4 linked regions of the Arabidopsis thaliana genome follow. The protein of the gene in region 2 purifies or fractionates together with the protein of the main gene of each other region. This does not show direct contact. Each region holds a gene or a part of one and is shown on either strand. Other genes may lie near its edges. The genes, in order: GYRA, AT2G05720, MCM3 and EIF2 ALPHA.

Region 1 (9,961 bases), on a different chromosome or scaffold from region 2:
AATAACTAACTTCGATCATGGTTTTCTCTTCTCGTAGTAACATCACAAAAAAACAAAATGAAGAGAGTTAGCACATAGACTCTATGTACTGAACTTGACAATTGTCTCAAAAACTGGTGGAATTGGGATTGTAAAATTTACAGGCTAACGGCTTCTACGGCTTCATTACTTAGAGTTCCTTCTGTTTCTTCTTCATCTGCTGCAGAGATCAGAGATGCAGATTGGATTTTGCCGGCATGATCTAGCCGCATAAGAATCACTCCCCTGAGAAATTAACAATCAAATGAGAAACCATATAAAATATACATTTGAAAAGACTGTCACATGAAGGGAGTACCGTGCTCTGCGAGATTGGATTGAGATATCCCTGACTTTGATCCGGTTCACAGTTCCGCTTTGGCTCACCAGAACTACTTGCTCATCACTCTCCCCATCCTCTGCAAGAAAACCCAATGGTGAGATTATATATAAACAGCAATCAAAGAACATTTAAATCCGTATTTGTGGCAGTGTATACTTACCAGCCAAGGAGTAACCAACAACGAAAACAGCAGCCAAACGATCATCCTCAGCAAACTGACAAATTGAGATTTAGATGTAAGGGAAAAATCAACACAAACACAACCAAAAATGGTGAAAATCCAGATCCTACCTTGTATCCAGATAAACCAACTCTGTTCAGACGCGAACGCCGGAAGCTACTCAGAGGAACACGCTTTCCATAGCCATTCTCACACACGAATAATAGCCATGGACCCGTGGATTGTTTCCTGCTTTTGTGATTGTGTTAACAAAAGAAGACAGTAAGACATAAGTAAGTTTCTAGAGCAAACATCAGCAGATATAAGTTAAGAAAAACATACACAAGTGAAGCATCTTCCGACTTCTCTTCCATATCTTTCCGCAGAGATGCAGGTATGATGTCCATGCTCGCTATCTTATCCTCATTCTTGAGTCTCATGGCAGTCACTCCCTTTGTATTTCTGCTCAGTGTGCGAACCTAAACAAACAAAAGCCATCAGAGTTTGCTCAAGTATTAAAAGGTTTACATGAAAGATGAATCATTTAGAAAAAATGAGAGCCACAACTTACACCATCACATGTACTCAAGGCGACCATTCCATTTTGGGATGCCATGGCTACAAGATCGTCGCTTGAGCAACAACGAACCCATTTCAGTTCATCACCAGAATTCTGAAGACAAATAATTTTGTTAGAGTAACCTTGTTAAGAAGACTTCCTATATGACTAAGAAGAAAAAGGGGACAAACCAACTGAATTGCTATGATTCCAGTTGAGCGTATTCCTGAAAATAATTTCAAAGATACTTTCTTGATGCAGCCATTCACTGTAAGCATCAGGAGGTAGCGATCTTCAGCAAACTCGCTAACAGGAACAATGGAGGTTACTCTTTCACCTTCCGACATGGATAATATCTGCTTCCACAAGTCACATGAACACAGCAAAACATTAGCCTTTCATAAAATTGAATAATTTTTGACATAGCAGAAGGAAAACATAGATACACAGATATGTAATTACCTGAACCAAAGGTGTACCAGCTGCATTGCGAGAGCATTCTGGAATTTTATATGCACGGGTTGAGTAAACTATACCCCGGTCACTGAATGTACAACAAGTATAAGCAATGAATTACAACAAGGCAGAAAATTAATATCCATGTGCGTAGCAAACACAAAGGAAATTTTGAGGTATACATACCTGAAAAAGAGGACATGGTCATGTGCATGACAAACAAGAAAGTCAGACATTGCATCATCAACTCTTAGTTTCCCAACAGATTTGCCAATTGTTCCACGATGCTGAAGATTGAATGTATCGGCCTTCATTCTCTTCACATAGCCCTTTTCGCTGACTGCCTATAGTCATCCATATCAAAAGTTACAAAACAAACAACAAAAATTTCAACGTTGAGAAACTTTCTAGGTTTAAGTATGCAACATACCATCAGCATCTCTTCATTTGGAATAACATCTATATCTTCTAGATCACCACTGTCAGAATCCTCCAACATTGAACGCCTGGGACTTGAGAATCTGTCCTTCAGCTCTATTGCTTCTTGTTCGATTAACTAAAGAAAAATACAAGAAAAACAACGAAGAGAATAAAGTAGTAAGTAATATACAATGAAGTAAACGAAGCAAATAGTTCAATTTTGGTCTACAAGAAAATCATCATGTATCAGTTATCTTCCTAACATTGGCCCAGAACAGCAACATATAGTAAGCAGCTTTACAGATATAAAAATAAGTACCAAACAAGAAATGGAAGAAGCATTTGAATCCTTATACCACATCATAATGCATGGACTAGATTTTGAACCTCAGTGGACTCAAACAGTCAAGCTTACAAATTTGGAGTACATATATTGATGCATCTATCATTCTACTAGCATCTAGGTGTTCTAAATTTCTAATATCAATAGCCAAAAGAACAGATAACTAAAAAGTGAGTGTGTCACCTTTAGGATGTTTGTTCGGGTTGATAATAGCTGCTCCAACTTTGTAATTTGCTCTGTTAGTGAACTACTTTCATCAGTAAACTTTTTCCGCTGCATTTATGAAGGGAGAATCTAGTTAGAACATTGTCAAGCCTACAAGTTTCATAAATTGAACTTAGCGAGAATAAGAAAGCACCTCAAGAGCAGTTAGCCTTCGAAGAGTTATCTCCAGTATAGCCTCAGCTTGTTTCTCAGAAAGACCATATTCTACATAAGTAAATGTTTGACAAGTGTTAATTTTAATATATGGTATCGTCCCTTACAATAGAGACTTACAAAGCATAAATCCCTAAGAAATCTTTGCAATTAAGATCAAATCTTACAACGAATGAGACTCCAGCAGTTCCAGATAAAAAGACAAGAAATATATAATGTTCAAATGTAATATGGAAGAGTTCACCACAAGATGTATTCTTTTAATAGTGTACATCCTAGACTACATCTATCAGTCCACCTAAGAAAAATTGGCTCTAGTCTACTTTTTGACTCCTAATTCTCGCTCACTTTTCCGAATTCTGTTTATACATCAACCTATAATGTGCAGTTCAAGATTGTTACATTGATTATATTGTCAAAGTAAAATATAGCTCACCACTTTGTAAAGCAGCAGTAGCAGAGGAATGACTTGAGGCCTTCGTGATGAGTTCGATTACTTCGTCCACATTGTCAAGCCCAACCACAATACCCTAAGCATATATACAGTGAAGATATTAGAAAAAATGCTTTACATCATTACATCATGGTCTTCACGAGCAGATTTAAGAAAGTTAAATATTTCTAGTCGCACCTCAATAATATGCTTTCGTTGTTGTGCATGTGAAAGCTTGAATCTTGCACGCCTTTCGACGACAGAACACCTGAAATCTATAAATGCCTACACACAAGCAAGAAACAGAAAGTAATCAACAAATTTACTTTAAAATGTGATTACAGTAGCACAGAAGTAAATATCCTATCTCTGATCTTCACTTTTCTATTACTCCTTGTGGGCTACGTAGATAAATGATTTACATAGACAAGTGGTCACCTGAAGTAGTTCTTTTAATCCCATTAGCTTGGGTTCTCCATCGCAGATACTGTAAAACACAGAATACCATAATCCAGTTACGATAAAGAAAAACGCATATGTGAATACATGATCCTTAATATATTTACAAGCATAACATACTCATTAGAGAATTTTCAACTAGTCATCCTGGAAAATGCCCAAGTTCTTTTATATGCCCACTCTTCAAAAAAGTACAGGAAATAAGAAGTTATCGGTTGATGCAACTCACCCCACCATGTTGCAGCTGAAGCTTGATTGAAGGGCAGTATGCCGGTAAAGATTATTAAGCACAAGTGCAGGATCCCCTCCTCTTTTGAGCTATAGAGAAGTATTGGAAATTATCTTAATTACCTTCCAATATGAAATTTTAAAGCAGACTAATACATCTAAGTGCAGAGGAAACAGTGTAATACCTCAATAACCACACGCATCCCATTACGATCACTCTCGTCACGTATGTCACTTATGCCCTCTAGCGTCTGAAAACAAACACCAACATCAATGAATAAAGAAGAAACTTTGCAAGCATATAAGGACATACTAGAAATGTAACACACCTCTGAGTAAAATAAGTACATATTGCTAAGTGAAGCAAAATAAACATTAGATGTCGCAAGTTTAGTTGTACCTTATTTTCAACAAGTTCGGCAATCTTCTGGACAAGTGTAGCTTTGTTTGTCTGGTAAGGAATCTGCAATAAAGTCACACTAAAGGCATTACTCTACTGCTAATAAACATTTTTGAAACCCTCATCCATGGAGATCTGAACATTAATCTAAAAAACTAAATTGATCACCTCTGTGATAATAACTGCATTCCGCTTTGTCTTTGGATCCAACAATTCAACTTCAGCTTTTCCTCTAACTACAACTCGCCCTCGGCCAGTTCGGTAAGCATCCAAAACCCTTGAAAGCGCAAACACACATTAGAAAATTATAAGAATCCAACATTGTAAAAGGAAATGGCATATGAATGCAAACTATTTTTTTAATAAAGGTATTCAACAAACTCGAGAGTAAATGTACTACACAACATATAAGCTTTCAGAATATTAAAAAATCACTCACACCATCAGAAAAAAACATGATGATTCAAAAACTGCATATGACAGACAAATAAAGGAAAACTATTAACTGGACCATCCTCTTCACTCATTTTCTAGGTTCCTTTTAAGATATAGGTACAGCTTCTGTAATCTGTTAGAATCATAGATCAAAACAAAACAAAATGCTTTTCTATTTCCATAAAAAAAAAGTTTCACACTTTAGAAGTGAGTCTTTCTATTTGATCCTATAGATAGCCTACTCTCAAAAAATTAGCAAACGAGGTGGGCAAACAAAAGTCATTAATGTATAAGATCCCTTTGGGGAGAAATTGGAAAGCAAAGAGTTACCCAAGGTTTCCCATTATTATTCCTCCAGTTGGAAAATCCGGTGCAGGCATGTATTCCAGCAGTTCTTGCAGCTGCCCAGACGAAGAAGAAAGTGGAAACAAAATCTTATGAGTTGTCTACTTATAAAACAGAGGATTTTTCATGTAAAACAAAAGACCCACAAATTGATAAATCACAGAAAAACAAAGGGGAGATGAGTGATACCGTTGCTTCTGGATTATGGATTAAAGCGCAAAGCACGTCTACCAACTCCCCAAGATTATGAGGGGGAATATTTGTTGCCATGCCAACCTAAACAATGTGAAATGATCAAGATTCAACTGCATATTCAATCTCATACAGCAGGGAAAATCTGCACAAGATTAACTGAAGAAATCTCGAACAAAATCTATTAAGGAGTTCAGATTTAAGATTTGTTTGATTATTTTACCGCAATCCCAGAAGCTCCATTCAACAACAAAGCAGGAAGACGAGCAGGCAACACTGCTGGTTCTTTTTGTGAGTTATCAAAATTGGCCACAAAATCCACCTGCCAAAACAAAAGAGGTTAAGGACCATCTAGTTGAGTATCGGTAAACTTGGCAACAAATTAATAGTGAGGTTACCGTATCTTGATCCAGATCAGACAATAGTACTGCCTCTGCCAGTGGCTGCAGAAAAAAAATAAGTACAATCAGCTGAAAACACTGACAAAAATACATGTTCATCTCAAGACAAGAGAAAAAGTAGAGATGAGAGATACACTATAGATAGCAAAGACAAGTGAAACAACTAGAAAAAGTGAATTGCAGGGAAAACCATTTCAACTAGAAGGGAAAGTAAGGTAAAAGGCACTCACATCGAGTCTGCATTCAGTGTAACGCATAGCAGCAGGAGGATCTGCATCTATTGAGCCAAAATTTCCATGGCCTTGGATAAGTGGACATCTCAAGGAGAAACTCTGCCAAAAAAACAAAGGTATTAAAACAAAAAAGTCAGAAGTTTGGGAAGAATCGAATCGTGCCTGAAACATTATTTGAGGACTGGACTACATTCCATGAATTCAGATATTTACCTGAGCCATCCTAACAAGAGAATCATAAACAGCAGTATCTCCATGCGGATGGAATTTACCAAGAACCTGAAAACCCAAAGAATTCAACAGCACAAATCGTTCTTCAGAATAAGATATTTAGAGAAATCGACTGAGAAAACACTTTCCAAAAATCAATAATATACCTCTCCAACAACTCTTGCACATTTCTTGTATGGTTTTTTAGATGACATCCCCAACTCATGCATTGCAAAGCTGGAAGACAAAATAATCGAACATTAGAAGGAACAATACCACTGACTAAGCTTAAAAATATCAGTAGCTTTGAGCCGAACGAAAGTCACTCAACAGAATTCTCCGATGTACTGGTTTTAGTCCGTCTCTAACATCAGGCAAAGCACGTCCAAGCAAAACAGAGAGCGCATACGACATATACGACTCAGTAGCTTCCTTATGTAGCTCAAAAGGCACAATACGAGATTCGTCCCCAGAAACAACCAAACCGCCATTGTTAGCTCCGGACTCTTCCTTGACCTGCTCATCTCCGCGCTTACCAGCACCGACAACGAATTTGCCGGACCGAGGAGTACGGGAGGAGAAGAAACGCGTGGCGGAGGGTTCAGTGCGGCGGAGACGGCATAATGGGTCGGTGAGGGGGAATCGGAAGAAGGAGCGGCGAAGAAGGGAGGAAGAGAGACGGAGAGTGGAGGAGAGAGACATGAGAGAGTTAGGGTTAGGGATTGAAGCAGTGGAATGGCATAATACTGGAGTCATGCCCAGAGGGTTTTAGGGATTTTTACAAGTACAAATGGATTAAAGTGCTAAAACCCTAGAGAGCCACACCGGAGAATTTCTCAGGCGCGAATTTCAATACTTTGGCGGGGGTCTTTGTGTCCAAACAAAAAACTAATCTGTATCTCTATTTGAGATATACACTATTTTATACAAACAAGATTATAATAACTAACTTTCGATTTCAATTTCTAATTTCATACTTGTATAGTGTCTTTGTTAGATCAATTACAGAACTAAATTCACCAATTGTTGAAAATTTAACAAATTTATGGAGAAATGTTAGTCACATTTTTGAAGTTTGCGATTCTTCTATCGACTCGAAAACGGTAGAGAATGATTTACATTATGTATTTGTAGCAAAAAAAATGTATCAAGCAATGATGAAACTCCGACCAAAGAGACCAGAGAATTTCTCAGACAGGATCAAAAAGAGATAAACAAGCAAAGAATCAATAAGCGTGAGAGATATAAGGGACAAAAAAATCGAGTTTAAGTGGGGAAGAAACCAAAAACTCCAGGATTGATCAGAGAAGAACACGAGCAGCGTCACCTGCTTCACAGATGAGAACAGGTTTTCCTCCATTTAGATTGTTAGCAAACTCGGGTTGGGCCTTTTCATATTCATCCTTCACATATGAAGCAGCTGCCTCAGCTTTTTCTGCATCTACAAAGGCTAGACAACATCCCCTGAAACCTGCACCGCTGAATCTAGCTCCATATACACCAGGAGCCTTCAGAAGAATCTTGTATAGCTGGATCAGTGGCTCCGCACCTTCACAAAACTCACAGAATTTAAAACCAAAATAATGAATCTAAGAGAGAATAATGTCTGTAAGCATACTAGTGGTCTGTATTCACTATAGGATATGTTGCATTTGGGAGAGAAGAAAAGAGAGTGTAATGTACCGCATTCGTAATTCTCAATGGAACTCAAGCCGGATGCTGAAATTAGCTTTCCAAATTCTTCAAGATTCCCTGAAGCCCAGGCTTCCCGTCCTGAAATTTAAGAACAAACATTCATAAAAGTCCGTTAAGCATCATAAAGAGCTTAATGAATCATTCATGCACATAAAGAGACATCTACAAGAATTCAAGAACATTTGCCTTTGATAACTCGCATGTTCTCCGAGAAATAATGCTCTGCTCTTTTAGCTAAAACCGGTTTCAGCTCATGCTGCACGAACAAGTATTATTGTATTACATATTTACATAGGCCTGATATAGGTGGAACCTGTTTTACCAAAAGCTTAAGAATCTTATTTTCTTACCTTGTGAGCTTCATAGACCGCATGCTCAACTATTCAGTGGGACAGTTAGAGACATGGCAACAAAGAAAAACTAATCAGCATGCAACGAATAAGTTAAAGTCCACACTTAAAGTTTTTTTACCATTGCACAACGTAGGTTCCAGCTCACTGTTCCCAGATGCACTGAAAAGAAAAAGTAAATCAAGAGAAGGGTGTGAATCTTGTGATGCAGAAAAATGAGTATCACAAGCAATAGAGAAATAAACTTTGCAGCATTTCCACTGAAATTTAAATCTAAATAAGCGAAAATGTAGATAAATATGAATCAAACAGATTTGCACATACGTCAAAAGAACTTTTGCTGCCTCTTGACACTCAGAAACTCGCAGATTATATCCTGGGTTGGTGGTCAACGCCTGCCTCAAGCCTGAGAATGCTAACAATATCCTGAACGGTTTCTCCAGTTCAGGAGCCTGTACAAGCTCGTGGTCCAAAGTCTGCATATTTCAAACAGTTTTTCTGAGATGGCAGTTTCTGGAAGAAAATAAAGTTTCCCTATCTATGGCTGGTTAGGAAGGATTTCTTCAAGGCCTCCTGATTCTAACCATTCATTTTCATTTTAGGAAGAAGTGAACTCAGCATTGAAATACATTAAAATCGAAGCAATTGAAAAGATTAAACACTTATTTTCTCGTGAAAGCAATGAGAATGTTGTAGATCTGATTTGATCGTGAGTCATTTTCAGTTTAGAGATCAAAAACATCTTAGGCATCCCATTGAACAGTCTTGGTTTTGCCACATGAACAAGCTTCTTGCTTTTTTGCACACTATATCACTTACAAATCAAGGAATTTTACCTTGCAGTCCATGTATGTTAGACACCCATAATTCGAAAGCAAAATAGCTGATTGATCCAAAATTCCATTCCGCAGACCCAGATACCCATTCTCAATAAGCCTGCAGACGCAGTAAGTCACATATAAATTGACCAATTTGCAGCACTAATTGCTGGTTTCACAGAGAAACAACTGCTCATGAAGCAATACAGAAGAGCTTCTTGGTTACATTAGAAGGGAATATACCTGTCATATTCGATATTTTCTGTTGGGGATACAGTCAATTCGTTTGCATTCTCTAGAGCTAGCAGGTATGCCACACCAACCTGTCACATTTCTGGCGATCATAAAATAATATACAAGATTCATTTTCCAAAAATGACAAGTAAACACCACTCTCATATGCTAAAAATGTTTAGTTACTATTAAAGAGCAGTAAAAATTGTCTTTCCGGAGAAATTTCTGCTGTACAAAAACAGGCGGGATTCAGTTACTTACAGCAGCTGATGAGCTAAGCCCGGAGCTATCTAGTCCATTTGAGCCACTGAGGTAACCAATAATGCCCTTCAAAGATCAAAACAATTACTTAGAAACATATTCAAATACCTTTTCCATTAAATACAATTATGTCAACTATTATGGGGAAATCAAGGCCTAAAAGATCAGGTATGGCAACCAAATAAGGGTAAATGTGGAACCCCAGAAGATCACACAGCAAATGTGCAGGCTAAACCTCATTTCCCATTAATGGTAAACTTTATCTATAGCTATAACCAGAAGACCAAATTTGAACCTGTTACCTGTTTGAGATTCTTTTTGCTGCTCTGTAACGCATAAACTGCTCCTCTGGCATAAGTACCCCAGATACTTTTTTCCTTCGATGGAGATGGCGTGCTTGCACCATTCTTGTTTGCTAGGCCTATTGGGTGCTGGATTTCATCTACTCTATAATTTCAGAACCCGAAAAGCTATTAGCATTATGCATAGAAGATCTTCAATTCCTTTACCACCATGACGAGTACAAAATTGAAATGCACTAAGGAAAACAAAAATACCTTTAGAAAAGGTAAAATAGAATGCATGAAACA
Region 2 (5,356 bases):
TTTATATTACTATTATATATAAGTAAGTAGCTGATTTGTTTTCAATATTTGTGTTGCTTGGTTTTAGACATTGTGGCGGCTGCTGTGCTATCCGGTAACAGGAACTTTGAGGGGCGTGTTCATCCACTAACAAGAGCCAATTACCTTGCATCTCCTCCGTTGGTGGTTGCCTATGCTCTTGCTGGCACGGTAATAAATCTTGAGAACTTGTCAAAGTTCAACTTACATTTTGTATGAGATAATGACACATGACTGATTATCACATTGGTAATTTTGGCGTTCTTCTTTCTTATTTTCCAGGTTAACATTGACTTTGAAACGGAGCCTATTGGCAAAGGAAAGAATGGCAAGGACGTCTTCTTAAGAGATATCTGGCCAACCACGGAAGAAATTGCTGAGGTATATACGACTTAACCAGAGAACAATAACATCTTTTTTATACACAAATATTAAACTAATCTTTTGACATATGGATCAGGTTGTTCAATCCAGTGTTTTGCCTGACATGTTCCGAGCAACGTACGAGTCAATCACCAAGGGTAACCCCATGTGGAATAAGCTGTCTGTTCCTGAGAATACCCTCTACTCATGGGATCCCAACTCAACTTACATTCACGAGCCTCCATACTTCAAGGACATGACCATGGATCCTCCTGGTCCACACAATGTGAAGGATGCTTACTGTTTACTCAATTTTGGGGACAGTATCACCACTGATCACATCTCACCAGCTGGAAACATCCAAAAGGACAGTCCTGCTGCAAAGTTTCTCATGGAGCGTGGCGTTGACCGTAAGGACTTCAACTCATATGGAAGTCGCCGTGGGAATGATGAAATAATGGCCAGAGGTACTTTTGCTAATATCCGTATCGTTAACAAGCTCATGAATGGTGAAGTTGGCCCTAAGACTGTTCACATTCCATCTGGAGAGAAGCTCTCAGTCTTTGACGCTGCCATGGTTTGTATTTATCTAATTAAAATTTGTATTACTGACTGTATGTTGATCATGTCGAATGTCTCCTTATCATAATGTCAAATGTATCAGAGGTACAAGTCATCTGGTGAAGACACAATTATTCTGGCTGGAGCTGAGTATGGAAGTGGTAGCTCACGTGATTGGGCTGCCAAGGGACCCATGCTACAGGTTTAGAACCGCTTCTCTAGTTTCTTTCCGCATAAACCAATCTTACTGTTTTATTCTGAAACAACAAGTTTGGGATTGTCAGGGTGTTAAAGCGGTGATTGCAAAGAGTTTTGAGAGGATTCACCGAAGCAACTTGGTGGGAATGGGAATCATCCCATTGTGCTTTAAGTCCGGTGAAGACGCAGATACTCTTGGATTGACTGGTCACGAACGCTACACGATCCATCTCCCAACCGATATCTCAGAGATAAGACCTGGCCAAGATGTTACCGTCACTACCGACAACGGAAAATCTTTCACTTGCACAGTCCGCTTCGACACAGAGGTAACTAAATACTCCAATCTTTAGTGAAAAAAAGCTTTTCAATGTGAAGGAACTAATAATGGTAAAATAAATGTGCAGGTGGAATTGGCATACTTTAACCATGGAGGCATACTTCCATATGTTATCAGAAACTTGAGCAAGCAATAGTGAAGGAAGCAATACACAAGTTATGGAGCAAAATAAAAGAGTGTTTGTTTCTGTTTTAAAATGTCTTTTTTAAAAGGCAGATAAGTCTGTCTAGGATTAGGTTAAAAGGTGAGTGATCTCATGCAATATATGAGTTTCAGTGGGTTATTCTTACACGCTTAGGCTCCCATGTTTCGCAACTTGCAAGAGTTGAATATTATTGTTTTTGAAAAGGAATAAGAGAGCCTTCTTGCATATTCCCATTACTGACTCCCAAAGACCTCGCAATCTGTTGCATTTCACAAGCGTATTCAGCAGCATCTATACCAATTCTCAGATCATGTTCAAGAACACCTGCTCTATTCAAATCTACTTGCACCATTAGAGTAACCAACTAATACATAAGAAACACAAACATCTTGCAGCTGAAGCCTAAAACCAATACAAGAATCTGATAAAACCAAACTGAAACTTGTCATAAATTCCATATGAACCTGAGAGTAATCTCCTGTGTCTGAATGAAGTAACTTGCCAGCATCTTCTTCCATATGAACCCTAGTAATACCAAAATCTCCTATGTCCACCACCAAACTCAAGAGGAATATCCAAATCTGATAACCTTGAAGAAGATCTGGATAAAAATACTGCTTCCTATCGAATTTAGACTTAAGAGACAAATCACAATTCAAAGCTAACCCCAATAACCCACTTTTTTAATAGATTTCCTTTCTTTCTTTCTGATCCATCTCGTTTACTTTGCTATAAATAAGAGCTTTGGTAAGCCAAACCTTCTTGTCTTCTAAGTGAACTAGTCTTGTCACGAGCTTCTTCTAGATCTTGTTTCAAAAGTTTGTTTATACCAATGGGTCCAACAGAGCTTAGAGAGGCTAGAATAGAAATTACCAAAGATTTTATAAAGAGAGCTGCTCTAAGGATTCAGCGTGAAAATCGGCGAAGGAATGATCCAGATGAAGATAAAAATGCTGAGACTAAATTGGCTTTAAAGCATTGTAAAGACATGGTTCTTGGTTCTAGTAAATTTGGGGATGATCGTCCTCTTACTGGTTGCTCCTTATCACGAGATGGAAAAATACTCGTCACATGTTCTCTTAGTGGGGTTCCTAAATTGTGGGAGGTGCCTCAAGTTACAAACAAGATTGTTGTCTTGAAAGGTCATAAAGAACATGTAACTGATGTAGTGTTCTCGTCTGTGGATGATGAATGTCTAGCAACTGCTTCTACTGATCGAACTGAAAAGATATGGAAAACGGATGGAACACTTCTACAAACTTTTAAAGGTCATTCAGATCGTCTTGCACGCATTGCATTCCACCCGTCATAGTCGTAGTGTTGAGATGCCTCCGGACAACGAGTTTTGATAAAACATGGAGATTGTGGGATATAAACATAGGAGTTGAGATGCTTTAACACAAGAAGGTCATAGTCGTAGTGTCTACGGAATTGCATTTCAACAAGATGGATCATTAGTAGCTTCTTCGGGTTTTGATTCGCTTGCAAGAGTTTGGGATCTTCGTACGGCTAGGAATATTCTTATCTTCCAAGGACATATCAAACAGGTTCTCTCGGTGGATTTCTCTCCTAATGGTTATCATTTGGCATCTGGTGGTGAAGATAATCAATGCCGTATTTGGGATCTACGGATGAGAAAGTTGTTGTATATTATACCAGCTCATGTGAACCTCGTTTCTCAAGTAAAGTACGAACCACAAGAACGCTATTTCCTGGCTACTGCCTCACACGACATGAACGTTAATATATGGTCAGGTAGAGATTTCTCGCTTGTTAAAAGCTTAGTAGGACATGAGTCAAAAGTCGCATCTCTTGATATCGCTGTAGATAGCTCGTCTCGCAAGTGTTTCGCATGACCGCACCATAAAGCTTTGGACATGCTGTGGGAATGATGAAGATAATGGGAGAGAAACAATGGACATAGAACTCTAGTTTGTTTTTGAGTTATTTACATTTTACACTCTCACATACTTTTTCATCTTTCATTTTACACTCCCACACTTTCATCTTCCAAAACAATTTTTTTCCTGTGTTATTACCGAAACGCCCCCAACTACATACCATACACTTTTATCTTTCAAAAATAACGGTCCTCTTTTTTTTTTTCTCTCTCTCATTCTCTCTCTTATTATTATTTTAGTTACTTAATATAAAGTGTTTTGTCTGTTTTCTTATATAATAAATCAAGAATTCATTTTTCCTACATTTTAAGATCCATTGTTACTATATTTTAAGTAAATAATTATATGACAGTTTATCCATTTCCGATCGAACATTTGTTTACTATTAAATGGATTTTAAAAGGTACTTGCACAAATATACTATACCGATATTTATAACTACTGATCATCCAAACATGTGAAAGAAAGTGAATGCAAAGCTTGAAAAAACAAAAATGCAGATGTATTAATTCAAGCGTTCTGATCTGATCTGATTCAAATAAAAGAGAAGAACATGACAAGTAAGATGTCCATCAAAGATTGTATATATGGATGATGGCAAGTATGTTGACTATTCAGTGTTATTAAGTATGTTTAGTGAACTTGATCTAAGCAATATCCTTTGACCATCTAAGTGGATAAGTGTTTATGGACAAGTGTTAATGGACAAGTATTTATGGCCGAAACTAAGTAGATGAACTGAAAGTGTTTAGAGAACCTTAAATCTATTATGGTGTTGCTGGTTGTGATGGTTTCCCAAGCCTGCAACAAGTCTTGATGATTTTCAATTGGCCGACGATATATATGGTTTTCACAAAGCATATACAGTTATCCAAACTTACTTTTATTTGTGTGTTTTTAAGCTGGTGGTTCTTTAAGTCATCCATTTGTTCGAATCTAGTAGACTAGTACATGGACGATATGAACATGTTGAAACAAACAATTGTTCACAATGTCATGGATGATATGGTTATTAATGAATCAAATCAGATCAGAACTCTTGAAATAAATTTGCATTTTTGTTTTTTCAAGCTTTGCATTCACCTTCTCTCATCTGTTTCACTACAAGAAATATGGGCACTCTTAGCACACGGAAAACACTATAATATTGTTTATATAGCGAATTCATAAACGCTGTGTTTGCTGGAACTATCTTAGGTCGGTCACATACAATAGCTTTTTTTTGCTATGCTATGTTATGTAAATATATCATAGCGTAAATTATGTTATATGATTATTATTTTTGCAGCTCAGTTTTAATGTTGTATTATATTGTGTTGTAGCAATTTATATTTGTTTATTATATTACACTTATAGCTCTTGTTTATTGCTCTACTACATGTTTATGTGATATCTTATTTCATATACATTTAATCCTATTTACATAAATATTTAGTTAAATTTATTAAAAGGATTATATTAGATATATTATACAAAACATACATACCAAGTCTTATACTAACTCTATATGTTCTTTTCTATTTTAAAATTAAAATAAAAATAAAAATAACAACCGAGTTTATTATTTTAAACAACCAAATATATGTTAAGTTCCCAAAACAATTAAATGTCAAATCATATATGGAAATCATTCAAAAATGTTTTATATGATAAGGAAAATATGTTAATCTTAGCTTTAGTTTAAAGGGAATTTAATGAAAAAAAACCCTCAACTTTGGCCAGATCCATTTTTAAACCCTGAACTATGTTTTTAGTAAAACAAACCCTGAACTAAAACCTGTTAATAAACTTAACCCCACAGTAATTAAATATTAATGGGATATTAATTTC
Region 3 (8,361 bases), on a different chromosome or scaffold from region 2:
AGTAGACCAAATAGTAGAATAACATAAACTACAAGGCTAGAACTAAAACACTTGTAAAATTAAGGGACTTAGAGAAAAATTACAGTCCAAAAATTTCCTCGAATAATTCGCTGTTTTTTTTATAATATAGTCTTGCTCCTGAAATCTGACGAACATAAGCTCTTTTCGCAAAACACACATCACACACCATTTTCACAACATCGTACTTATCGCCTTCCTCTCTCTCTCAATACCTCTCTCAATTTCTGGATCCACCATGCAAGCTCTTCAATCTTCATCTCTCCGTGCTTCTCCTCCAAACCCACTTCGCTTACCATCAAATCGTCAATCACATCAGCTAATTACCAATGCGAGACCTTTGCGAAGACAACAACGTTCCTTCATCTCCGCATCAGCATCCACTGTCTCCGCTCCTAAACGCGAAACAGATCCGAAGAAACGAGTTGTCATTACTGGTATGGGTCTCGTCTCTGTGTTTGGTAACGATGTTGATGCTTACTACGAGAAATTGTTGTCTGGTGAGAGTGGAATCAGTTTGATTGATCGTTTCGATGCTTCCAAGTTCCCTACTCGATTCGGTGGTCAGATCCGTGGGTTTAGCTCTGAAGGTTATATTGATGGCAAGAATGAGCGTAGGCTTGATGATTGTTTGAAATATTGCATTGTTGCTGGTAAAAAAGCTCTTGAAAGTGCCAATCTTGGTGGTGATAAGCTTAACACGGTAACATTTGAATTGAAATTGATCATAAAGTTTTGATTTTGAAGAGTTTAGGAGTCAAAGTTTTGATTTTTGGTTATTGGGTTTGTTGCAGATTGATAAGAGGAAAGCTGGAGTACTAGTTGGGACTGGAATGGGAGGTTTAACTGTGTTTTCAGAAGGTGTTCAGAATTTGATTGAGAAGGGTCATAGGAGGATTAGTCCATTTTTTATACCTTATGCTATAACAAATATGGGTTCTGCTTTGTTGGCGATTGATCTTGGTCTTATGGGTCCTAACTATTCGATTTCAACTGCTTGTGCTACTTCGAATTACTGCTTTTACGCTGCTGCGAATCACATTCGTCGTGGTGAAGCTGATATGATGATTGCTGGTGGGACTGAGGCTGCTATTATTCCTATTGGGTTGGGAGGTTTTGTTGCTTGTAGGGCATTGTCCCAGAGAAATGATGACCCTCAAACTGCTTCCAGGCCGTGGGATAAAGCAAGAGATGGGTTTGTTATGGGTGAAGGAGCTGGTGTTCTGGTATGTTTCACAAATTCTTAATCTCTCATTGATACTATGAATCTACATACATTTGGCTTGCTCTGTTTTGAATTGTATATAAGAGCCTGTTTTGGTCTTAGTTTATAGAATCTGATGAAACTTGTGTTCCCTAGTCTATTAGCTCTGGAAGTTTCCTTGCACTTGAATTGTACTACATTTTCAAAGTTGGTTTATCTCACCATGAGATTGGCTCATACATGTGACATTTTGTTTTGGAGAGACCCACTAATTGTTGTATGCCCTAATAGGTGATGGAAAGCTTGGAACATGCAATGAAACGTGGTGCTCCAATTGTAGCAGAATATCTTGGAGGTGCTGTTAATTGTGATGCTCACCATATGACTGATCCAAGAGCTGATGGTCTTGGGGTTTCTTCATGCATTGAAAGATGCCTGGAAGATGCTGGTGTATCACCTGAGGAGGTAAAAAACACAAACTTTTCATGCTTCCTAAGTTTTAAGGCTATCTGAAACAAATTTCTTCATTAGATTCGTGTTACTTCCCTACTTATATTCATTCCACGTTTTTCAGGTAAATTACATCAATGCACATGCAACTTCCACTCTTGCTGGTGATCTTGCTGAGATTAATGCCATTAAAAAGGTATTCAAGAGCACTTCAGGGATCAAAATCAACGCCACCAAGGTTCGTCCCCAATGCTCTATGATTGAGTGTTCTTCTTCTCCTCTATTTCAATGTATTTGTTTGCTTTGCATTTCCTGTGAATGACAGTTTCTGTTACAGTCTATGATAGGTCACTGCCTCGGTGCAGCTGGAGGTCTAGAAGCCATCGCCACCGTGAAGGCTATCAACACTGGATGGCTGCATCCTTCCATCAACCAATTTGTACGTATAACAGGAAGTCAAGAAAAGGCTTCTTTGATTCCGCTTTCAGTTTGAACTGTTGCAAGATTTGAACTTGGTCATTGTATTAGACTCTCACACTCTTTGTTTTCTCATTGTAGAACCCAGAACAAGCTGTGGACTTTGACACGGTCCCAAACGAGAAGAAGCAACACGAGGTTGATGTTGGTAAGTGACAAACATGACCGCCTTCTCATTGGATTAAACTGGCAACAGTTTCACTGATTAATGTCTTTCTGTTTTGCTGCAGCCATATCAAACTCGTTCGGGTTCGGTGGACACAACTCGGTAGTCGCCTTCTCTGCCTTCAAACCCTGATTTCTTCATACCTTTTAGATTCTCTGCCCTATCGGTTACTATCATCATCCATCACCACCACTTGCAGCTTCTTGGTTCACAAGTTGGAGCTCTTCCTCTGGCCTTTTGCGGTTCTTTCATTCCCCGTTTCTTACGGTTGCTGAGATTTCAGATTTTGTTTGTTCTCTCTCTTGTCTGCGGAATGTTGTGTATCTTAGTTCGTTCCATATTTGCGTAATTTATAAAAACAGAAACTGAGAGAATCTTGTAGTAACGGTGTTATTGTCAGAATAATCCAATTAGGGGATTCTCATCTTTTATTTCTCAACAATTCTTGTCGTGTTTTTACATTCGAAGAAATTAGATTTATACTGAATTTTTTTTCAGTTATACATATGTTGTGATACATCCGAAAATGTTCTCAAATCACACAGGTTTATTTTGGTTTTCATATATACATTTTTCGGTTTACTGGCTTGAAGGCAGTAGCAAAAGTTAAACCGAATTTACAATGAATTGATTTGGTATGTCTGGTTTTTGGTTTAGAATCTGGGTGTATTATACCGCCTTGAGGAAATCAAACGCGCCAAACAAGCGCGTAGACGTAAGTCCAAAATTGTACCGGCCCAAATTTGGTTAATCAAAAAGCACGTAGACGAAAGGCCCAACTAATATCGGCCCAAAATGACCCTTCCCGCCAAAAAGGGTACAGGTTATCTCACGAAATCCCGCCATAAGGAGAAGATCCGCCCTTTATGCCTCTCGAAATCGGAAATCGAAAATCTCTAATCAGTTTTTTTTTTTTAAGTAGAAGAAGAAAAGTTCTTACGAAGAACCCAGATTTTGTTAAGAAATGGATGTGCCAGAGGAGACGAGGCTTCGCCACAAGCGAGATTTTATCCAGTTCCTCGATAGTGTAAGTCGATTTCTATCACTTTTCTCACCAGACATTTCTCGAGCTTCTGTTCTTATCTAATTTGAAAAATTGGATTTTTTTTACGGATTGTGTAGATGTATATGGAGGAAATCAAGGCTTTGGTACATCAAAAGCGTCACCGTCTCATTATTAATATCTCTGACATTCACCACCACTTCAGGGAAGTTGCCTCTAGGTTCGTCATCTTCTCAATTTGTCTTCCTCGAATTTTTAATCGGTTCTTTAGTATAAGGTTATGAATTTACGGCAGATTTTAGGGTTTTGTTAGATTCAGTGAGGTTAATTTGGGGATTTTTAAGGATTCACTACAATTGTCATATGTTTTGTGACCTTAAAGTTGATTGCTTTGGTTTTTTTGGATAGGATACTGAAGAATCCAAATGAGTATATGCAGTCATTTTGTGACGCAGCCACTGAAGCTACTCGTGCTATTGACCCTAAATACTTGAAGGAAGGAGAGCTTGTCCTTGTTGGTTTTGAAGGTTATTTTGTTTCTCGCGTTGTTACTCCTAGAGAGCTTCTCTCTGATTTTATTGGATCTATGGTCTGTGTTGAGGGCATTGTCACCAAATGTAAGCTCATCATTTTCACTCTATTCCTCTGCTTTTCTTCTGTTTCCTTTGTGTTTTACGTAGAAGATTTTGAACCTCTGACACATGCTTTGCTTTCAGGCTCTCTTGTGAGGCCAAAGGTTGTTAAAAGCGTTCACTTTTGTCCATCAACCGGTGAATTTACCAATCGAGATTATCGAGACATAACATCTCACGCTGGTTTACCCACTGGCTCTGTCTATCCCACAAGGGTAATTACATGTTTTTTGTTTTCGTTTTGTTCATTTACCTGTACTGCTGGAAGATTTGCCTCTTACTGAAGATTGAGTTTTTTTTTGTTCAGGATGATAAGGGAAACTTATTGGTGACTGAGTATGGGCTGTGCAAATACAAAGATCACCAGACCTTGTCAATTCAAGAAGTGCCTGAAAATGCTGCTCCTGGTCAGCTTCCACGAAGCGTTGATGTCATTGCTGAGGATGACCTTGTTGACTCATGCAAGCCAGGAGATCGAGTATCTGTTTTCGGTATTTACAAAGCTCTTCCTGGAAAAAGCAAGGGTAGTGTAAATGGAGTCTTTAGGTGCGTTTTCTTACACATCTGTTAGTTCAAGATGTTTTCACTCTGATAGTCTTGACCGAGTTCTTTCTGTGTAGGACTATCCTCATAGCCAATAATATCGCTCTGCTCAATAAAGAAGCAAATGCACCTATATACACTAAGCAAGACCTAGATAACATTAAAAATATTGCACGAAGAGATGATGCATTTGATCTCCTTGCTCGTTCCTTAGCACCTTCTATTTATGGGCACGCTTGGATAAAGAAAGCAGTAGTTTTACTGATGCTTGGTGGTGTTGAAAAGAACCTGAAGAACGGAACCCACTTGAGGGGGTAAGTCTTGCTTGAAAACAGATTTCAGATTCGACTCATTGGATACTTTTTGTCTAACTCATTTTTCTTTCTTCACTTGAAAACAAATCTTGTGCTTTCAGAGACATCAACATGATGATGGTTGGTGATCCATCTGTTGCCAAATCTCAACTTCTGAGAGCGATAATGAATATTGCACCTTTGGCTATATCAACCACAGGCCGTGGTTCTTCCGGTGTTGGGTTAACTGCTGCTGTGACTTCTGACCAAGAAACAGGTAAAAAGCACACAAAAGCGTTTCCACATTTTTTTATCAAATGCTAAAATCAAAATTTGAAGGAAGGTCAAAAGTGCTATTTCTCATTAAAATCAAATTCTCATTTTCATCAGGGGAACGAAGACTAGAAGCTGGTGCAATGGTCCTCGCTGATAAAGGTATCGTGTGCATTGACGAGTTTGATAAGATGAATGATCAGGACCGAGTTGCTATACACGAAGTGATGGAGCAACAGACTGTAACAATTGCAAAAGCCGGTATCCATGCATCACTGAATGCTAGATGCAGTGTGGTTGCAGCTGCAAATCCCATATACGGAACTGTAAGTTCTCACCGAAGTTTTCCTAATCTACTTACTCTACTGACTAGTATTTTTTTGTCCTAATACCTACTCTTGCTCCTGCAGTATGACAGATCACTGACTCCAACAAAGAACATTGGACTTCCAGATTCGCTGCTTTCTCGTTTTGATCTACTGTTTATTGTGTTGGATCAAATGGATGCTGGTATCGACAGCATGATTTCAGAACATGTCTTGCGCATGCATCGTTACAAGAACGATAGAGGTAGGAAACAAATCATGCTTCTATGTTTTACTAAACATTTCACAACCCATGTCTTGAAACGCATCTGACTTTTGAGTGAACCATAGGTGAGGCAGGGCCAGATGGGAGCTTGCCTTACGCGAGAGAAGACAATGCTGAGAGTGAAATGTTTGTTAAGTATAACCAAACACTACATGGGAAGAAGAAAAGAGGCCAAACACATGATAAAACCCTTACGATTAAGTTCTTGAAGAAGTACATTCATTACGCCAAGCACCGTATTACACCAAAGCTCACTGATGAAGTGAGACAGTGAACTCAAATATATAAATTTTTATGTATCTGATAATCTCTTCCACTAAATCTCTTTTGTTATTAAATTTGCAGGCATCGGAACGTATTGCAGAAGCATATGCAGATCTCAGAAATGCAGGTTCCGATACTAAGGTAATTTATTTCATAAAATAACATTGGACACTGTATCTTTTTCGTCTTGGGAACTTGTATTTGACACAACCATCGAAATCTCTGCAGACTGGAGGTACGCTTCCGATAACAGCCAGAACTCTAGAGACAATAATTCGTCTTGCTACGGCACATGCCAAAATGAAGTTGAGTAGCGAGGTAACAATCTAACTCAAATCTTCTGTTTCCCCACCTGGTCGTGAATATGTTCTATTCAGATTCTTTCTAAAGTGATAACTTTATTTTGAAAGGTTACTAAAGCTGATGCAGAGGCTGCCTTGAAGCTTATGAACTTTGCAATATATCATCAAGAATTAACTGAGATGGATGATCGTGAGCAAGAAGAACGTCAAAGGGAACAAGCTGAACAAGAAAGAACACCAAGTGGACGTAGAGGCAACCAACGCAGGAATAATGAAGATGGAGCAGAGAATGACACTGCAAATGTCGACAGGTAAACTAATTTGATCTCCTCCATGGAAACCTATATCACAGCTTTCTCAACCCTTATACTTTTTTCTTTCTCTTTTGCTGGTCCATTCAGTGAAACAGCAGATCCAATGGAAGTAGATGAACCTTCTGTAGAGCAATTCAGCGGCACGGTCTCTGCAGCAAGGATTGAAACCTTTGAGCGAGTGTTTGGGCAGCACATGAGGACACACAGGCTCGATGACATCTCTATTGCAGATATAGAGACTGTTGTCAACAACAATGGGGTTGGAGCATCTCGTTACTCTGCAGATGAGATTATGGCTCTCTTAGAGGTAATTCACAAATTAAGAGACAAGCTTTCTCATTCTTTAACTTTTTATACAATATCTTCATAACTTTACTCTATTGTGGATTTTATGCAGAAACTGCAAGATGATAACAAAGTGATGATCAGCGATGGCAAAGTTCATATCATTTGATCATATGAAGAAATCAATATTGATTGCATCATCATCATCATATTAGAACTCAAAAATAGTGTAGTAGTAAACTCTTGGAAACCAAAATATCATTTTGTAAAATCTTTATTCATACGTTATGTTTTTTGCATTTACTAGTGAAGTAAAACTGATGATAAAATGCTTAAAAAAACGCATCTGATTATAAAATTTGGAATTTATAACGAAAAGCACAATCCGAGAATAAAATACTTTCATATTTATCCTATAATTTCTTGAGCTGTTTATGCCAAATTTTATACATATGTAATCGACATCAAGATTATAGTGTATATGTTGTTTTAACCCAATGGTAAGAATAGAGTTGTGCCATATATAAGCCAACTTCAAAACCCTAATAATCACTACCTTGGAACTCTCTCGTCTAAAAGATCCATGTTTTTCCATTTGGTCTCTATTACTTTTTTTTTTTTTTTCCAAAACATGTTTGCTTTGTCCATGATGGATCCTATACGTTTCTAAAATTGTACATATAATCAGGTTAAATTCCACAAAGACGGATTGAAATCAGTTTTGGTATACAGAGTAATACAACAAAATCTATTTTTTTTTTTGTTGCCAAATAACAAAATCTATTTTGGTAGGTTACTGCACACGTTTCTCTATCAACCCTAGTCAAAACAATTGAGTTACTAAATAAACTTACGTAGTTAGGCCATACATGTCTCTGATTCAGACCAGAGCTTCTCAGAAATGTTAAGGCCATGAGCAAGAGAAACTTGTCTCCACTCTAAGAATTCTAAATTCTTAAAGTAATCATAAAGTGAGACGTATGTGTAGTAATGTAAGGGGATAAGACATTAGAGGCTATGAAACATTTGCTTATGACCTTGTACAAAAGATGATTAAGACATCAAATTGGAAATATCCGTCAAGTTGTGTCTGAAACAATAGTGAAACTGATTAGTGAAGACTTTTGTGGCCGTGTTTAATATTTTTATATAATTAAATCACCAAGACGTACGATTACAATCTTAATCTCCAAAGTCTTTGTTCATAGTTTCCTCCTCTCATTCTCTCTATGGCTTCTTCATCTTCTTCTCGAAACTGGTTATATGATGTTTTCTTGAGCTTCAGAGGGGGAGACGTCCGCGTAACATTCCGTAGCCACTTTCTCAAAGAGCTTGATCGGAAACTGATCACTGCATTCAGAGACAATGAGATCGAGAGAAGCCACTCTCTCTGGCCCGATCTTGAACAAGCCATCAAGGATTCCAGAATCGCAGTGGTCATTTTCTCCAAAAACTACGCTTCATCGAGCTGGTGTCTTAACGAGTTGCTGGAGATTGTGAATTGCAATGATAAAATTGTCATACCAGTTTTCTACGGAGTGGATCC
Region 4 (6,212 bases), on a different chromosome or scaffold from region 2:
ACAGCTTGGTGAGGTTCGAGAAAAACGGAACATACAAGAGGGTTGAGCAGAGAGTGAAGACCGAACGGATCGTGGAGGTGACTTCTGAATCGGGTAAACCGGTGAATCGAGTCGTGCACCAGCGGACATATCCTCTTACAGTGATCACTTCTACTCTTAGAGGGTTAACCAACGACAAGGATACGTATATGCTCGTGACGAATGTTTCACACGCCTTGAATGAGACACATTCAGATGGAGAGGCTTTGATCCAAGTTTATAGCAGACAAGACTCAGAGGGTTGGATGGAGGTTGAAGATCACAATGTCTTGGCTGGTGAAGCGAGCACAAAACAGAGTCTTAGCTATATCGATGAATTCAGCTGTTATTCCCGCACCATCGTTGCGGCTAATGGGGAGATTGCCCAGGACAGTTCATCTGATTCTTGTACTTCGTCTTCATTCTCAGAGCTCAACACTATTGAGCAGCTTATCATAACCAATGTTATGAAACACTTGTCGTGAATAAGAGATGCTTGTACTACTAACCATGTTTGGGGTCAAACAAAAAATACTGTTTTTGCTCAAAGGGAAACAAAATTGTAGGATCTAAAGCAGAAACAGCAGTTACAATGCTTTTGCTTTTGTTCATTCAATTATCCCGCTACCTCCATCGATATCGACTTCTCCCATTCCAGTGTCTTCTTCTTCATCTTCGCTTCCCTCATCACCACTCATTTCTTCATTATCCATTCTAAGCTTAGCCATGTGCTCAGCAAGCAATTTGTCATCACGCTCACTCACCTAAAAATGTTGTAGCACATTAAAGTCACGGAACCGAAGAAAAGGAGTGACTGAAGTAGCAAATTCAGTCAACTAGTCATAGAAAAAGGCTACAAGACTTACCGCACGAGCACCTTCTTTAACGACAAGTTTACCCTTGTGTTCCTCAATTGCAGTAATGCATGCTTCAATTGCTTTATTCAGAGTCACTATTCCTTTTTCCTACTCAGTCAGAACAAGAAAGTGTCAATGTTACTATGTAATCCTCAATGTATCTCAAAACGGTTTCCGCTTATAAATAGGAGCACACCCAACAACCATAAACATACCTTGTAATGGGTGTGAGTTGTGAGTACATAAAGTGGTGGAGCAACGAGCTTGATTTTGACTGGACAATCATCAGTACCTACAGCCTCTGCCTTCTTCATGGCTTCCTGTAAATTCATAATAATAGCCAAACATCTTTAGCTAGAAGTAGAAAACAAACAGAGAAAACAAAAAAAAAAAACAGATAAGAAAAAGGAAAAGACTGACCTTGATGTGGAGAACTCCATCAAACTGAAAACACTTCAATTCAATATCAGCACGAATCTTCATTGGCTGTGGTGTCATTCTCCTCCTAATGTCCTTCAAAAATGCATCTTTCAATTCTTCAGACACAGCCGGGACAACTTTGGTCACCTGTACAGAAGATATGTTATAAGTCTTCATGATCAAATTAAAACAATGATAGAGAAGGCTGCTCAAGGCAAAGAGTGTTGTTACCTCCACACCATCAGGTCCAGTTTCTTTAACTTCTCGGGTAAGAGCATCGAAAACTGAATCAGGATCAGTGACAACAATTTTGAAAGCCTGAAACACACAGTCCAAGGTACACACCATCACAACATAGTTCGTACAAACGACAATGGGCCAACTATTACATAATAAAATCTTTGGAACTATTACCTCAAAAGCATGTCCATGCTTCTTATACAATGGCCAACCGATGTTTACGTATAGCTCCTACAAAAAAGAAGGTTTTTCCTCAGAAATTGGACCTTGTTTCAGTTCAAGAACATTGACCTACATTCAAACAAATTCGAGAAGAGTCAGAGAATCGTATGAATGAATATACCTCCAAATCGACACCAACAGTCTCAGCAACATGACGCATGATAGAGTGAACAAGCTTGCTCTTATTATACCTCTCCTCACAAGCCTCTTTGTCCTCATCACTAACCCTACGTTTACTGAGATCAATGTAACCTCTCTCTCTATCGACACGAAGGACCATAACAGGCTCGGTACGACCGACCTTGATTAAGCTACTGATACTACGAATCCGACGGCGAGAGAGCTCGGAGAACAGGATCATTCCTTCGATGTTGTTGTATTCAAGGAGAGATACGTAAGCTCCCATGTCAGCGATGGTCTTCACCTGAATCATCACCGCCATGTCTACATCAGGGTATCTCGATTCGTACATACGACATTCTAGATTCGGAGCAGGATTCGCCATGGTTATGAGATTCTTGAGAAAAGATTTCGGAAGCTACGAATTACAGAGAAAGTAAGATTGAGTTTCTTAGTAGAGAGCGTCGAGGATTGAGATTTAGGGTTTTCAAAATTGGTACGATTCTGTCGTTAAAAATAGTCGACGTCGTATAATCTTCAATCTCGCCGAGTCGCTCACATTCTCACGGCCCATTCTAGTACGACACCGTTTTTGTAGTTGGCTTGCTAACGATACCGTTTAATCTACAAAATAAAAGTACTGAAATTACTAAAAAGGTTATGAAACTAATTGATTCAAATAAAGAGATTAAAATGTTGAGATTAGCTTAACTTAATGAGCTGTGTATTTTTGGTAATATGTCGTAAATTAATTTACAACTTCAACCTCTTAATAATCGAAATATTCTTAGTTTACCCCATTATTTTAACTTGGGAAAAGTTCATCGAGAAGTATTTCGAATCGTGACCACTCACTCATAGTCATTTCTCTCCTTTCTTCGACCTCACACCAAAGAACATAAAAGAAGGAAATTGTAAGTTAGAACTAAAAGGCGAACACGAAGATTCATGCTTTCAGATGAGTCTAATCTTTATGAACCTTAATTATTACAAATCTTGCTTGTTCTTATCGAATCTACAGTTCTTTTTTTGGTTTTTTTTTTTGTCCATGTCTGTTTTGACTTTGTTGCCAAGGAATTTACTAAAACTAGTAAGTCTAAGCTCGTTCAGTCGTTTGCAATGTTTTAATTGAATCAATGGTTTGTTCTTCTTCCTCTATTGGATGTCATGGAAGTAAAAATCTTCAGGAATCTTCTTTGCCTTGATTCTGAGATTTTTGGAATTTAAAAGTTTAATCCTTTCCTACACTTCTTGTAATGATCAAAGATTACTGTGATTTTGTAAATTTTTCTATCGGTTCATAGTTTGTGATTTTGAGTTAAGTTGTTAAGAAATCATGCAAACTGCCAGAAATTTTTGTCCAGAATTGCAAATTGAAATTGATTTCGGTTTGGTTTACTTTGGTTTTGAAATTAAAAATGATTTTGGTCCGGTTAGCAATTGGTTTTGAGAAAAAAACAAAAAAAGTCACGCGATAGAGAATTTGGAGAGAAATGCGTCGATACAAAAAGGCATGAATTGGAAAGGGGTTTACCCACAGAATCGCTCTCACTCGCTCAACGCGCTCTTTCTGCGAGTGGGTACGAAATAGAGCCTTCTGATTGGTTTAGAAACGCAAAAAAAAAATGAAATAGTAGACATGTTGCTAGCTATGTTATTATTTACTTTTCCTCTCCTTAGGCAAAAACTAGATTCACGCTTTCAGATTTCAACTGGTGAGTGCTAAAATATGTATAAACCTTAATCATTGTTAATCGTCTTTGTTATCATCGAATCTATAGTTCTGGTATGAATTTTTTGGTTGTCCTGCTCTGTTTTTACTTTGTTGCCCAGAACTTTTACTAAAACTAGAAAGCTAAGCTCGTTTGTTATGTTTCATTTGGAGCAGTAAATTGTTCTTCTTCCTCCATTGGATGTGTATTTTTGTTTGTTCTTTATGTTCATTGTGTTGACTTGTCGGTTTTAGTGGAATGAACAAGTTGAGAGTGAAACTGAGACTAGTCGTCGTCCTTTGAATCTTTCAGATAAGGACCAACATATACCACAAGGCAAAGAATCTGTGCATGAAAAGGTTTGTTATTATTATCAACCTTATAATCATTAATTCATTATCGTATGGTTCATATCCTTGAACTGACTAAACAAACCATCAATGGTCTTATTAGATCGCAGGTTCGGAAATGAACCATAATTCAAATCAACCCACAACAACAAAGCTTTGAACTCACACGCTCTACTTCAACCACAAGGTTAGGGGAAGCATCCAACTCCTGCCATGAACCATCTTCACCACAGGTTTGAACCACGAACCGGACTCCCTTCACATCTGATCCAACGACCATTTCAGAGACATAATAAGCATCAACATGAGCTGTTCCAAGAAACACTTTCTCGCTTCTTGGTTCTTCCATAACCTTCCTTGGTCTATACTCACTCGAACTCAGATTCTCTGCATATACATTGTACTTTGGAAAGACAGAATCTTCTTCAGGGTGCTTCAATCTCCATTCTAGCTTACAACTTAAGGTCTTGGAGCCAGAATCACCCGGTACAAACTTTACGTGATGAGCCTCTATAACCCATGATGACGCCAGAGGATAAACCTTGGCTTTTTGCTGGCTCTTGATGGAGATATGTCCAAGCAATGCAAAATACTCTAGTGTGTTTGTTTCTTCTGTGAGATCATCTGGTCTGGAGCAGAAGGCAGATATCTCAGTCAGTGTGTGCCCATCTAAAACAAGGTTTGTTTCGTGTACTGTCCAACCGGATGTGGTCTGTTTTGATGTGAGAAGACATGGCAGGAACATGTCGCCAAATCTGTTGATAGATTCATTTGGCACCATAAGCATGGACTTTTTCTCTTGTGAAGGAGATGAAAAATGGAGCAGAATGCTTAGCTCGGATCTTTTATCTGACTTCACCTGCACCAGTCCAAAGACTTACATGATGAGTAAAACTTAAAGATTGAAACTTTGTAAAGATGAGGAGGAGCTCAAATCTTATGCGTTAACTTACAGAAAAGAAGATTGAGATTGGGGCAGCAGAGAGCTGAAGCTGAGGTTTGAATAGTCTTGCTGTGAAATGTGCATTTCTCTTTAGTTTTCCTCTGAAACTGACGTTCCCTCCTCCATTATAAGATGCTTCTCGACCACTAGCATATATGTGTGCTTAATTGTTAGATGCCAAAACAATTTCTTCTTAAGCTTCTTGAAAATCAAATATGAGGCTAGTATTAGGGATTTAGGGTCAGAACTCACTCAACAGTGACCTGAATGGTCTCTGAATTCCTTCCTTCATTGAATTCTAGGAATGGCTGTCACAAAGAACACAGCAGAAGAAATTATCAAATTGGTATATAGATAAGTCCAGATTAAAAATGTGACAAAAAAGGAAATGAGCTCTAGTGCAATAAAAGCTAGAACAAGGAGTGACCATTGAACCTGTAGACTTTGGCATGAGATGTTGTACCAGGGAGCTTCTGATAATTTCCGACCTCCAAGAGAGGTATGAGAACCAAGGCCCTATATAATAAACAAGTGGAGAGTTTCAAAACTCAGTAGAACATAGAATAGCCATGCTCATTTGCATCTATTCATTGGGAACAAAGTTTGACTTCACCTGATTAAAATCTGAGTAGAAAGGTAGGACTTGAGGATATGTTTGAACTATACCCCATGACTTCTCAACAAGTGACCACCATCTAAAGAAAGATAACATATGATGAATAAGATTGCAAAGATTAATTTTACCATCACATTTGGCCATTTGCAAGTATTACTTGTTTTGTGCCGTGTAAAAATCCGGGGGTTGCTCGGTTTCGTATACCCATCCAGGAGCAAATATCGCAGCTGATACATTACTGCTCTTCAGCAAATCAAGAGCAACATTTGCCTACAATACAAAAGAATTGAACAAACGTATAAAAACTTTATATGCAGCTTGAACATTGCAGACTACTGGTTGAATGAATTTGTTAGAATAAAGATACATACAGTCCATTGCCCACCACCGTAAGTTCCCCGACCAAACACATCTATTCCCATGTAGACATCATATTTTCTATCACCGGCAATTTCAGCTGATGCTTTGGGGTAGTTCTCCTGAAAGAGATACCTACTCAGTACTCATATCACAATCAAAACATATAAGATGAATGAAGATGAAGTGATTGATTGAAGTGAAAGGCCAAACCTTCCATGTATAGTTCATGAATATACCATCGCATATATCAAAGAAAGGTTTATTATTCTCGGTTAACTGATCTTGCCAAGCAAGATGACCATCAATAGTGACACTATCATACCTACAAAAAAAAAGTAATAGAAAAGATCAGTA

What was found.
Region 1: the proteins of AT2G05720 (region 2) and GYRA fractionate together in Arabidopsis thaliana (co-fractionation; one large-scale study listed by BioGRID). This does not show direct contact.
Region 3: the proteins of AT2G05720 (region 2) and MCM3 fractionate together in Arabidopsis thaliana (co-fractionation; one large-scale study listed by BioGRID). This does not show direct contact.
Region 4: the proteins of AT2G05720 (region 2) and EIF2 ALPHA fractionate together in Arabidopsis thaliana (co-fractionation; one large-scale study listed by BioGRID). This does not show direct contact.

Annotation. Positions count from the first base shown.
Region 1 is NC_003074.8:3,339,475-3,349,435, forward strand, and holds the start of GYRA (DNA GYRASE A), read right to left. Parts: upstream 6,887-9,961; 5' UTR 6,770-6,886; coding exon 6,345-6,769; intron 6,251-6,344; coding exon 6,181-6,250; intron 6,083-6,180; coding exon 6,017-6,082; intron 5,903-6,016; coding exon 5,801-5,902; intron 5,613-5,800; coding exon 5,568-5,612; intron 5,492-5,567; coding exon 5,393-5,491; intron 5,254-5,392; coding exon 5,167-5,253; intron 5,034-5,166; coding exon 4,963-5,033; intron 4,475-4,962; coding exon 4,366-4,474; intron 4,261-4,365; coding exon 4,198-4,260; intron 4,049-4,197; coding exon 3,983-4,048; intron 3,888-3,982; coding exon 3,799-3,887; intron 3,598-3,798; coding exon 3,549-3,597; intron 3,396-3,548; coding exon 3,309-3,395; intron 3,208-3,308; coding exon 3,114-3,207; intron 2,729-3,113; coding exon 2,658-2,728; intron 2,573-2,657; coding exon 2,483-2,572; intron 2,093-2,482; coding exon 1,967-2,092; intron 1,881-1,966; coding exon 1,723-1,880; intron 1,625-1,722; and 16 more. Other genes in the region: GalAK (galacturonic acid kinase), read right to left, coding at 7,315-7,562, 7,697-7,786, 7,895-7,964, 8,059-8,087, 8,180-8,220, 8,383-8,534, 8,895-8,994, 9,120-9,199 and 2 more. UniProt on the Arabidopsis thaliana protein: A type II topoisomerase that negatively supercoils closed circular double-stranded DNA in an ATP-dependent manner.
Region 2 is NC_003071.7:2,144,735-2,150,090, forward strand, and holds AT2G05720 (Transducin/WD40 repeat-like superfamily protein), read left to right. Parts: upstream 1-2,457; coding exon 2,458-2,893; intron 2,894-3,086; coding exon 3,087-3,481; downstream 3,482-5,356. Other genes in the region: ACO3 (aconitase 3), read left to right, coding at 68-189, 301-399, 479-958, 1,046-1,144, 1,227-1,469, 1,548-1,616.
Region 3 is NC_003076.8:18,768,525-18,776,885, reverse strand, and holds MCM3 (Minichromosome maintenance (MCM2/3/5) family protein), read left to right. Parts: upstream 1-3,182; 5' UTR 3,183-3,279; coding exon 3,280-3,342; intron 3,343-3,437; coding exon 3,438-3,538; intron 3,539-3,726; coding exon 3,727-3,935; intron 3,936-4,034; coding exon 4,035-4,165; intron 4,166-4,257; coding exon 4,258-4,496; intron 4,497-4,570; coding exon 4,571-4,807; intron 4,808-4,908; coding exon 4,909-5,063; intron 5,064-5,176; coding exon 5,177-5,385; intron 5,386-5,469; coding exon 5,470-5,629; intron 5,630-5,715; coding exon 5,716-5,912; coding exon of another isoform or gene 5,913-5,924; exon of another isoform or gene 5,925-5,995; coding exon 5,996-6,055; exon of another isoform or gene 6,056-6,142; coding exon 6,143-6,232; coding exon of another isoform or gene 6,233-6,244; exon of another isoform or gene 6,245-6,324; coding exon 6,325-6,527; coding exon of another isoform or gene 6,528-6,531; exon of another isoform or gene 6,532-6,617; coding exon 6,618-6,837; intron 6,838-6,927; coding exon 6,928-6,984; 3' UTR 6,985-7,237; downstream 7,238-8,361. Other genes in the region: KASI (3-ketoacyl-acyl carrier protein synthase I), read left to right, coding at 257-721, 813-1,244, 1,514-1,687, 1,797-1,910, 2,010-2,159, 2,231-2,297, 2,380-2,447; AT5G46270 (Disease resistance protein (TIR-NBS-LRR class) family), read left to right, coding at 7,796-7,807, 8,024-8,361.
Region 4 is NC_003076.8:1,616,629-1,622,840, reverse strand, and holds EIF2 ALPHA (eukaryotic translation initiation factor 2 alpha subunit), read right to left. Parts: upstream 2,384-6,212; 5' UTR 2,263-2,383; coding exon 1,879-2,262; intron 1,767-1,878; coding exon 1,710-1,766; intron 1,614-1,709; coding exon 1,527-1,613; intron 1,443-1,526; coding exon 1,296-1,442; intron 1,196-1,295; coding exon 1,091-1,195; intron 984-1,090; coding exon 885-983; intron 783-884; coding exon 627-782; 3' UTR 504-626; downstream 1-503. Other genes in the region: AT5G05480 (Peptide-N4-(N-acetyl-beta-glucosaminyl)asparagine amidase A protein), read left to right, coding at 1-503; ENGase85A (Glycosyl hydrolase family 85), read right to left, coding at 4,070-4,798, 4,893-5,028, 5,135-5,190, 5,318-5,398, 5,496-5,577, 5,656-5,768, 5,870-5,977, 6,069-6,180.